3 linked regions of the Caenorhabditis elegans genome follow. The protein of the gene in region 1 interacts with the protein of each later gene in a pairwise test. Each region holds a gene or a part of one and is shown in the gene's direction. Other genes may lie near its edges. The genes, in order: tcer-1, mab-10 and cyk-1.

Evidence for each region.
Region 2: the proteins of tcer-1 (region 1) and mab-10 interact in a two-hybrid assay, tested with the Caenorhabditis elegans proteins (one large-scale study listed by BioGRID).
Region 3: the proteins of tcer-1 (region 1) and cyk-1 interact in a two-hybrid assay, tested with the Caenorhabditis elegans proteins (one large-scale study listed by BioGRID).

Annotation. Positions count from the first base shown.
Region 1 is NC_003280.10:7,048,238-7,051,992, reverse strand, and holds the start of tcer-1 (WW domain-containing protein), read left to right. Parts: upstream 1-1,921; coding exon 1,922-2,022; intron 2,023-2,080; coding exon 2,081-2,107; intron 2,108-2,166; coding exon 2,167-2,509; intron 2,510-3,004; coding exon 3,005-3,191; coding exon of another isoform or gene 3,192-3,223; exon of another isoform or gene 3,224-3,555; intron 3,556-3,709; coding exon 3,710-3,755. Other genes in the region: ZK1127.5 (putative RNA 3'-terminal phosphate cyclase-like protein), read right to left, coding at 85-687, 735-1,141, 1,189-1,318.
Region 2 is NC_003280.10:10,526,421-10,530,175, forward strand, and holds the start of mab-10 (NAB transcription cofactor mab-10), read left to right. Parts: upstream 1-1,663; 5' UTR 1,664-1,827; intron 1,828-2,952; exon of another isoform or gene 2,953-3,378; intron 3,379-3,755. UniProt on the Caenorhabditis elegans protein: Transcriptional cofactor. Heterochronic protein, involved in timing of a subset of differentiation events during the larval-to-adult transition.
Region 3 is NC_003281.10:7,027,487-7,031,241, reverse strand, and holds the start of cyk-1 (WAPL domain-containing protein), read left to right. Parts: upstream 1-2,036; 5' UTR 2,037-2,045; coding exon 2,046-2,525; intron 2,526-2,661; coding exon 2,662-2,755; intron 2,756-3,139; coding exon 3,140-3,201; intron 3,202-3,248; coding exon 3,249-3,485; intron 3,486-3,538; coding exon 3,539-3,715; intron 3,716-3,755.

The DNA of each region.
Region 1 (3,755 bases):
TTTAATGTGAAACAATTTTTTAAATGAAAACCAACAACAATAACAATAGAGAAATCATAACAACGAAAAAACAAATCGAGTAATTTATAGAATGGTCTTGTTCAAATTGCTGTATCCTACACCAACAGCGGTAACCATAGCTTTATCGGCACTTCCTGTTTTGAGATCAGCTTCCTCTTCCTTCAATGTTTTTTTAAAGTCTTCCATTTTAAACTCGATCTCAAAAAACTGTTTGAGATGCCTGAGTGCGTGTACACTATACATTGGAAGAGGACCGTAGAGGAAGTGTGAAACATCTTTAGGACAGAGTGTCATAAATGTGCTTGCAAGTATTTGAGCACTACTGTCAAGGGCACCTCCCATGTAAATTTGTTGAAGAAGAGCATGACCGGCTTCAATTCCAATGTCTTCTGGAAGAATTGGAACTCCTGATTCGCCCTTCGGTCTTGAAATAGCTTCTGCTTGGTAGATAACACCCTCTGTCGTTTCGGCGGTTAAGAACAGACCATATCCTGGAGAAGCGCCACCAGCATCACCTTTCCGTTGATCAACAGTAATATAAACATCCGAAATGTACCCATGCATTGCTTTCTTTGCAGCGTCAATCATTCGATAAGCTAGTGAAGGTGTAACTTTAGTAACATATGCTTGACCTCGAATTTTACAAACTTTTCCGACTTGTTGTCTCTTAAATTAACATTTTGTTTGGGAAGAAACGAATAAAGTAAACTCACTTTTACTGGCCGAAGAGTTTTAACAATTGGAGCGGTAAACACGACAACACCGCCTCCTTCTGGTTTCAATCCTCGAGCTTGAATTTTGATATCAAGTTTCTCATCATTGAGCACAAATTTGTTGTAAACTTTCAACCAAGAAGCTTTCATACCATCGACTGAGATTTCACCAGGTGCGTTTGTAACTCCTTTCAATTTGATTACCATTGGAACTTTGCAGAAGGGAGAAAGCAATAGAAGAGGCTCCAAAAAGTAAGAAATGCATCTTTCGGTACCACAATCCAAATTAACAACACCGCCAGTAATCATTCCCGGTCGGAAAATGACTTGAGTACCTGTTCGACTGATTTCAACTTTAGTACCGTTCGTCACTTTCTCAAGTAGACCGATCAGTTTTGATTCGAAATCTGTAATAATATTTTATGTGATACAAGTTGATAATGAGTAGACCGACCTCTGATTCCTGGTCTATCATCATTTTTTCTGATGTTTATTATTCTGATGGGTCTTCCGCTGAGAATTGAGTACGCTAGTCTGATTCGGAAGAAATTGCATCCACTGAATTCTAGAGTTTCACTGGACATTACCTGAAAAATGTGTCCATCAGTCAAGACGAAAATTGAAGAAAAACAAGCGATTGAAAAATAACAGCATATAAATATTAAATTTATTTGAATTAAAATTCTCCAATTTGAGGATTGAGCTCAAATAGAAACTAAAAATGCTAGAGAGCAGTTTTCATTGGGAGCATATATTATCTGCAAATCAGCAAAAAATAAAGAAAACGTTTACTCGTTTTGTGTCTTAATAAATCAGTTAATTAAAAAGACTTTTTTTAAATCCTTTTAATTTTTTGTATTCATCTGCAACTGCAAAAAAAATTCCGCGAAAAAAAATAATGCAAACGCGCTCCATTGTGAGAATTCAGAGCGCGACGCGGTGTGCGACGCGGTCCTTTGCAACATATTTCGGAGCTTTTTACAACTATTTTATTTGTTTTCAGTTTACAAAGTATTATTAGGGTAAATGGGAATGACTAAATATATAAGCCAAGCAATTAACACTCTGTTATATACATAGCTGATCTTTATAGAGCTCAACTAGATATAGTTTTGAAACTTTTCGTAATTCCATTATGCTAGACTACTGTTTTTGGATTTTACTTTATGAACTGCTCTTTTTTACAGATGAGCCACGAAAATCAGGAGAACTACGATGATTATAACGGAGACCACGACAATAAATATGACCAGCAGTACGACGAATCAAGCCGAGGCGATGATTTTGGGTATGTTTTTTTTTGGTATTCTTAATTTTACGAAAACCGTAAAAATATTATTTTTCAGTGGATATGGTCGAGGAGGGTCGTCAAGGTATTATAAAATTAAATTTACATGCTCAATCTAAATAAATTATCAGTACATTTTTTCAGCGGCAGAGGTAGAGGATTTAATGGACCGCCAGGCGGTGCTGGAAGTTTTTTCGGTGTTCCCCCAGCTGCACGTGGTCGAGGTGGACCAGGGATGGCTCCTCCAGGATTCGCAGGTAGAGGTCGTGGATTTGCTACACCAGGTATGAGCAGTGGTTTTGCTCCGCGCGGTCGCGGTATGCCGCCAGGTCGTGGTGGATACATGCCTCCATACAGAGGAGGTTATGGTGTTGCACCAAATGGAGGTCCAGGAGCGTACGGAGGGCCTTATAACGGAGGTCCTGGAGCATATGGTGCTCAAGCACCAGGGCCGAATCCACAAGATCAGGAGCAACGTCTGAAGAGAGTGAGTAAATGTTCAATTGTTGAAATAGTCTAGAAACGTATACCGTATTTCTTCTATTAATATGGCTGCAATACTATTTTTCGATGGTCTTCCCGCTTGCAATACCAATAGGGAGTGCAAGACTATTAGGGAGTGCAATACTAATTTTCAGGGCCTTTTTCTGACTTTGAGCTTACTACTTTTGTTCTGAAAAAACTCGAATCTTATGTAAAAATTCAGAAAATTTGATTGAAATTGCAACAAAAAAGTTCAAAAACTTCAATCTTATAAAAATTTTCACGAAAATTGTTGAAAACGACGCAGAAAATGTTGTTAAAATCTCAAATTTAGTGAGGCGGGTTTGCACCGAAAAAAAGTAGACGCAAGACTATTAGGGAGTGCAACACTAAAAGTGAGTGCAATACTAATTTTCGGAGGGTGTTCATGGTGCAATACCAATAGGGAGTGCAAGTCTAATAGGGAGGCCATACTAATAGAAGAAATACGGTATTTCAGCTTTCGGGATGTGAAGAAGGACAAGAGTTATGGGTTGAAACTGAGACAGCTGAAGGAAAAAAGTATTTTTATCATCCAGTTAACAGGAACACAATTTGGGAGCGACCACAAAACGCTAAAATAGTCACTCAACCAGAATTGGCTCAACTCATTCATAGAGCCACGGAAGAGGAAAAGAATCGTGAAGGTATGCAATTGCATTCAACTTTTAGCATTTGATGTTTTTGATTCCATCTTTTTGCACATTTATAATTAATTTTCAGAAGGTTAAGTTTAAACCTGGCACAGAAATTTCAGATTCTTAGGTTCATCTCTCCATAAGATTATGTCGCTCTTCTAGTCGTTCCTCTTCATTGCTGTCAAAGCTGAAACGCGTTTGTTAGAAAAGTTTGATAATAAGTTTGGAAAAAAGAAACATAAAAATCAGTGGTAATAATCAAAAAGTCCGTATTGTATCACAGCCACAGGAAAAAATTGCGGAACAACTACCGATTTACGAGCTGCGAGAAGGACATTCTATGCCGTGCGAGCATCATGCCATCCACTAATGTGTAATGTCCACTTTTCTAAGTTTTCCATCAAGTCATAATAGAAAATCATCATTATCTCTTGACTATGAGATTCGGGATCCACGTAGGGGCGGTCTCTGAATATAAATTAGATTTTATTTTTCATATTTATGCCTAACATATGATTTTTTTTCAGAGCGAATGCCACATGGTCAAATCCCACAAAATCCTGATGATGCCTG
Region 2 (3,755 bases), 3.5 Mb from region 1:
AGAAGTTTCATAAAAAACTAGAGCACTTTCAAGTGTATATGGGTAATGAAGCACCCCACTAACTGTAAGGCAACGTTGAGGGTTCTCCGTACAATTGAATAGTAGAATTTGATACGTCAGAAGAAGGTAGGTACATAACATGGAAGTTATGCTGTCTGAAAACTAACATTTTGTCTGAAAATGTTTTGATTTTATTTTAAAAAACGTGTTGATACATACCTCAATTCCACCAAATCCTCTTGCATTCTGCCATGCAAACATATCAACATCCCACAAGTTTATGAACTTCTAAATACGAGTTTCCAGAACCAATCTCACGATGAGCCCTCAAAGTTTCTGAAGATAAAACTGTGAAGAAACTCTTAGTTACCAACTTTCCAGAATTTTCAAAATATTTTTTTGTAAAAACTATAACAATCAAATTGTTTACTACTCCAAATACAATAGATTCTGTATATTTTGCAGTGAGATGAAATTAGAAAAATCCTAAAGCATCAGTTCCATTTCGTTTTTTGATCAAACAACACATTATCAAAATCATCAGTCGGAATTTTTTCAGATGGATTAATCCAGAAGTTTCAAGAACCACGCCATCTGCTTACAATTTTGTTCTACGAATCAGTAAAAACCATTTTTCAAAATTTTCATTTTTATGAAAGAAGGTGTTTTCCAGGATTCAATCTTGGCATTACTGTAACGAATTATACTTTTGTTTGAAAACATGTTCAAATTATACTAATGATTTTTAGAATACAAGTATTTCAGCAACCTTTTCGCCGAAAAAACGCTTTTAACAAAATATATTTGGCAACTTTTGATAAAATCCTCTTTTGAAGTTACGAACATTATTGAATTCCACCACACATTTGTTTTGGTGAATTCTGAAAAAAAAATCGAATAAGATGAGTTTCAAAATAATTTTGCGGCCTTACTGTACTCAACAGTACTCATATCAATAACATATACAACATCACATATACAGTCTACAGTACTCATGTAGTACTTCTCCAGTGATTCAGCGGTTTAAAAAAAGTCTCACTATCCCAAACACCAACTTGAATCCCCCTTCTTCAACTGCTCTTCATGCCTTCCACTGCTTCTGATCATATCAATTGCTCTTCCAGAGACCTTTGGGCTCCTTGGGTCGGCACCGGACTGGTACCGCTGCCAGTAACACACAAAAAATGGACGCGGCCGAGGGCAGCAGAAAAAGTGCAGAAAGAGCAAGTAAAGCGAAGAGAGTGTAGACGCACTTTTTGTGCAGCAACACTGCCGTCGCCCCCAGGCAGTGCCAGCCATTTTTTCCCTCATGCGTCCCCCCGTGGTCTGTGGGGGTCACTTGCGCCCCCCCGGGCAATTCTGCCCTGGGTGTCCGCGACCGGTACCACCGCCGCTGAGAAGACGCCGCGCCACTGCTGATATCACTGAATGAGAAATAGTATGGAGAAGATGAGAGATTGCAGAGAGAATATAGAGTGTGGCTGCACTATTCTGGCTCTGTCTGTTCCTCTGTTCCTCTCGATTTCTCAATGCCTTTGCTTTTTTTTCAACGCACGCGTGTTCCCCCCTCCAGTTGACCTATGTTCTCTTAATTTTTTTCCTTTTTTTCTAGCGTTGCATATTATCAGTTATCACCTCCACCTCTATCCAACCACTTTTTTATTATAGACCCCGGCCTCACTGTTCCACAGCCTCCTGACCCGGTCGTGCCCGGACCTTGTGCGGCGCCAGACGCGAATGATATTCGGAGACACGGGCTGAATGGTTTCGTCGGTAGAGAACCACGTCATCCCGTTTTCGTCGTCTGCGGAGTTAGAACTGTATCAGGTAAGGTTTTTAGTTTTTTCTTTTTTTAACTATCAAATTGACTGAAATGAGAAAAGAACGGAAGGCAGGCAGGTCTCAGGCATGCACCAGGATCTGAAAACGCGCCTGCCTTCCACCAAAGCCTTAGTTTTGATTTGTTTGACTAGGAGGTCTAGAGTTCAGAAACTAACTATAAGGCCTCCGTGTCAGGAGTGTGGCAAATTTGACAATGGACTTTTTTAGTATTTGCCGAGCACGGCAAATTTGGCAAAATCAGCTAATCCACATTTTTAAAATTTGTCGGCTCGGCAAATTCGGCAAACGACAAACTCGGCGAATTTGACGCACACCCCTGATGTAGTACTTGCCGAATCGACCGAGCTCGGACAGTTTCCAGAATTGCCGGAGATCACTAGTTTCGTCCGTTGGGAGATACTGTAACTTCTAGATTATTAGTTATGAATGTCACTCTTCACTTTATGTCTATTTTCTCCATTTCTCCCATTTTTTTCTCGAACCTCCCACCTATTCCCCGTTGTGTCCCATCCGCCTGTTCGTCGTCGACCTTCTCTCCCTTCATCGCTTCCCAATTTTTTTTCTGTTCACCTCATACTGCGCGCATCTCCTCCCATGTCTACACTATTTTCATCAATTCATGGACATGTGCAGACAATTTCATGGGGGCTTTTTTTGCTAGAAGAATGAGCGTGCGCGCGCCAGCCTCGAAAAGGACGTTTTCGGAGCGGTTTTTCAGTTGGAAAAAGCGATGGAACGAGGTGAAGAAGAGGTCAAACAGATGGTGGTACTGTTGGATGAGAACAGCTGAATTGGAAGAAGGAGGAGGAGCTTGAGTTTTGATTAGTATGCTCTTATAGCTTCTAGACATCTATTTGTCCAAACAGGAAGAAAACTATCCGCCTAAATATTTTATCATATCGGTAAGAAACACCAAAACTTGAAAGTATTTCTGTTAGTCAGAAGTTAATAGATATAGGAGATAAGCTACCAAAATCTCTCTGAAGTCTGACCCCGATTACTGTAAATTTTGAACTTTCGTATCCCCAGACATCCACTTGTCAACAAAGGTCACTTTTTTGTCCCGTTCCTCCCAAGCCCATCCTGTGTATACACACACACAGTCACCTCAATCGTTCGCATAGTAAACCGAACATTTCAAATAATAATCGAACGACGCCTCTTTGGTTTTTTCATCGGTTCTTTTTCTCTCTAAATCTCCCCCGATTCCCGTACTATTCCCTCCCTCCTATTTCTCCATTCTCACCTCCCGGTCCGTCCCGCGTCCGAACGACCGAAGAAGCCCAGTGGCGAGAGACGTTTTTTGTAGGATTGTCTCTGTGTCTCTATGTTTTAAACGCTTTTTCTCGCCCAATGGTTTGCCGGTTTTTCTATGTTTCTTGTGTCGTCGTTTGCGTCCGGGCGCGCCGCCGAGTTTTTTTGACCTATAGTTAGATGTATGGGTGCACTCTTAGTTTAAGACACTATTTCGTCAGGGATGTAGATAGGCGGACGCTGGGGTTTTTTGAACAGGGATCGGGGGCCATACCACTCTCTTTTCTGTGTCGATATGTTCCCATTTTCTTCTCTTCTTCACTCTATTCTAACCTTTTTTGCAAACCTTTTTTATGACTTCGATAGGGAACCTACAGTGTTGTAAAGCAGTTAATACAGTAGTTCAGCATTTTTCAATTAATTTTCATTCTGGGAAAAATATAAATCAGCTTACAATATTTAATTTCTAGTAGTTTACACGTACCTTCTAATAATTGTTTGATATTTTCTCTTTAAGCATACAATCAGTGTGTTTTCTGTAGTTGATTATAAAAATAATATATACCAACTTGGCTCGGAGGTTTTGGAGGCAGCGTCCTGTAAAACTTTGACAGTTTACAACTTCCTGTCGAACTTTTGCAACTTTCCAACGACATTTT
Region 3 (3,755 bases), on another chromosome or scaffold:
TAGATAATTTTAAAAAAAAATGTATCCAGAAACCTTAAAAAAAACAAATCTGGCCAGTTGACGCCCGTTAACACTAGCGATTTGGAACGAGAGGACAGATGTTTTGTGTTGAAGAGAGAGAAGTTTCCATCGGTCAGTCAATTGGAAGAATTTCGTTTTGTCTGGCGCAATTCGTTTCGTTTTAAAGTTTGGTTGTATACCATTTGGACTTAACTGAAAGGGTGTCACTTCTATCTGTTTAAATTATTCTTATTCTAGGTGTATCCCACAATTGCCTAATTTTAAATTAGCGTTTCTAAACTCATATGTCACATCTCGCAACTTAAACAGTTTTTCTTTTAGGTGTTTACCAAATATCTAGGTGTTCTCTCTCTGTTAAATGTCTATGTGACTATGCTATTTGCTCTTTAGCTTATCAGTTACCAATGATCATAGAAATCTTTCCTCTTGAAGTTAAATGTTACTTTCTGAAAGTTTATCTAACAAAATTTTCAGTTTTCAAACAATTGTCTTATTTTCAGTGTTAAAAAACCCACCCAATTGCCTTGATATCTTTGTCTCGTATCTCTCTCTCTCTCTCTTCTCAACGGCTTTACTATCCGGTTTTCTGTCCGCCTCATTGGCTCAGTGGCAGAGCGTCTGTCTAGTAAACAGAAGGTCGCTGGTTCGATTCCAGCATGAGGCACCGAATTTTTTTGAAGAAATCTTAGTCTTTAACATCGGATTACTGTAGAATTATCACATATTTTTTGAGAACGTATCCAGAAAACATTTTTAGACATTTTAAGGTGTTCTATCATTCGTGAAATTAAGCGATCATTGCACATGTAGTAATTTTCTTTAAAATTTATATTTGCACTTCAGTATTTTGAACGATCGGCAGTGACTTCATGCATGTGTGAATAGAAAATACACATTGTAGAGCATCCGGCCGGCGAACACGCTATCATTCATATTTCTGTCAACAGTGATATGTCTATGATAATCATATGCTCAAAAAGCACCACCAGCCTGTCCACTTGACATGAGTCTCCATTTTGACCGTCTCTCCTTCTCTACTTTCTCCATGAGTCCTCTTATCTCCTTCACATGTGCCCAATGACCCATTTGGCGGGAAAAATCAGACAAAAAAGAGAAGAGAGCAAGGGATTTGCATACTGTAAAACAGTGTCAAATTTCCTTCAAGAATGAACGAGCTTTATGTTAGCCGCCAAAAAACAAGTAGTTGGATTCCTTTTAAATATATTTTATTTATGAGGACGAAAATCCCAATCAACTCAACGATGTGTAATAAATATCTTAAAATGTAGGATTGCAGTTTATGAATTTCCGCGAAAACGTGAGAGTTTAAATTAAATAGGCTGTTCTCAGATACTAGATTTTAAGCAAATTATATGCTGGCTGAAAACATATTATTTCAAAACTTAATGAAGAATGAGCTAATCTCCATTCCCGAGTTCATTTTCTTGTTTTCCGGAGCACTTCTCAAATTCTCTTCCTCTCCCTTTTTCGCTTTCTCCAAATACCGAAGTGACTGTGTTTATTTTATATTTATTTTGTTCTTTTATCACTAGGTTCTCACACATTTCCTCCATTTCTCACTTTTTCATCCAACGACCCGCATGCCCTGTCGATTTGCCTGCCATTCAATTTGAATAGATTTCATTTTTGTATTTTTCTCCCCAAGAATCAGATGACATTCCACTTCTCTTTTTCCCCTTCTTCTCACTTTTCTAGAGTTCGCTGATTGCCTTCAATTTTTAGTTGGTTTTCTGTATATGGAAAATAACAAAGTCTCTATTTTTCGTAAGAAAATTATTTTCCAATCGGTTATTCATTTCTTCACTATTTTTCTCCCTGGTTTTTGATTTCTCTGCACTTGTCAATACAATTTCAATTCAATTCACGGTTTTACCTTCATTTACGATTAGATTTTATTACCTGTATTGAGGTTATTTTGACCGTTTCGGTAATCCGCTCCACTTTATTAATTCAATTCGTTCCGTTCAAAATCTCGTTCAGTTTGAAACATTTCCAGCTTAAAAATGTCTAGCGATGATTATGAGTCAATTGACACGCCACGTGTAGCTTCACTAGCTGATATGAATCGACTTCCTACCCAATCTCGTCATTCAAGTTATTCAACGGATGACGATGAAGACGTGACTCCTACACCATCAGCTTCTAATTCTGCTCCAAAAAATACAATTCTAGACCCTCTACAAGCGCAGTTTCTTCACCCGAATTCTGAAAATTCTGATATAGACGAGCCTCGTGTGCAATTGCGCGAAAAGAAAAAAGCGACTCGTGCACAAGATGCAACTGTTTCTCATTTCTTGGAAGATCAAGTTCCTAATCAGAAATTCAAAAGGAGAAGCGCTGAAAGACATTCAATGTTGGCTGGAGCTGCTGATTTTGCTAGTCGTAGGAGTCCATTTCATTTAAGTGGAGCGAATGGTTCTGGAAGATGGACTGATTTGTTCTCATCGAGCAGATTTAAACGAAAACAACGACAGAAATTAAATGTTCGTATCTGGGAATTCTTCTACCTAAAAATACAGAAATAACATCTTATTATTAGAGAAAAGTAATAATAATAATTAGAGTTTGCAAAATCCTCAAATTAATATTTTCCCCACAAGTATATTTTCTTATTTTCAGAATGTTCCATCATCGTCATATTCAAACAATGACTACGGTACATATGCAGGCACACAAAGTATTGGAGGTTTCTCGATTGCTTCAAATTCTTCAGGTAATATTTTTTTTCTTAATCTTGAAAATAAAAATTATGTCGCTAGTTAAAGGTAGAGTACGGTCAATATTGAAATTAAAACCCGTTCCTATGGTGCTAAGATGTCAAAATGTCATAGAACTTCTCAAAAATATTTTGAAATTTTTTTATTATTTCACAATGTGATTTGTGAAAAAACGGTGAAAACTGATTGTGAGTTTTTGCCACTTTTCTTTCACTTATTTTTGACTGTAGATTTAAAACATGTTATTATGATATTTAATAATTTTAGCGTCATAGGAAGCGTTTTTCAAATTGTTTTCCCATTGACCGTATTTCACTTTTAAACGAGCATTAAACTGAATTATTTCGAAGATCTCCATTTTCAATATAAAATAGTTCCAGGAGAATCATTTGCCTTGTCAGGAACTGAAGACGAAATACGAGAAGAATTCAGGAAAATTATGGTAATATTCTTTATAGAGTTCTTATTATATTTCTACTAATTTTGCAGCTCGACAAAGGTCTGCCCGAAGCTGATAAAATTATTTCTAATACGCCACTTGATCAAATGAAAATGATGATTGAGAATTCGAGAAAACAAGATAATCAGGCGAAGGGAAGGTCTCCGGAATGGGTTGTACGAGTATTGGGAGAAATATTGAAAACGAAAAACATTCCGGAATGCAAGCAGGATATTGTTACTGTACGGGTTCAGCTAGTTGGTCAAGGTGTTTCATTTCTTAATAAGGTTCGTTTTTTAAGATAGATATTGTTACTATTAAAATACATATTTATTTTCAGTTCGCCGTAGAAGTTCATGACGAGTCTGGTCGCACTGGAGCTGATCTTATCTGCTGTCTCTACTCATTAGTCTTGAAACGACTGAGAAGCAGTGAAGTTGGCTCGAAATATGAGCTTGATTTGATTGATTTCTTGCAAGAAATCGTCAGATGTGTCCGAACGCTAATTAATACACATGTAAGTTTGTATGTTTTCAGTCTAATTCTAATTCTACACT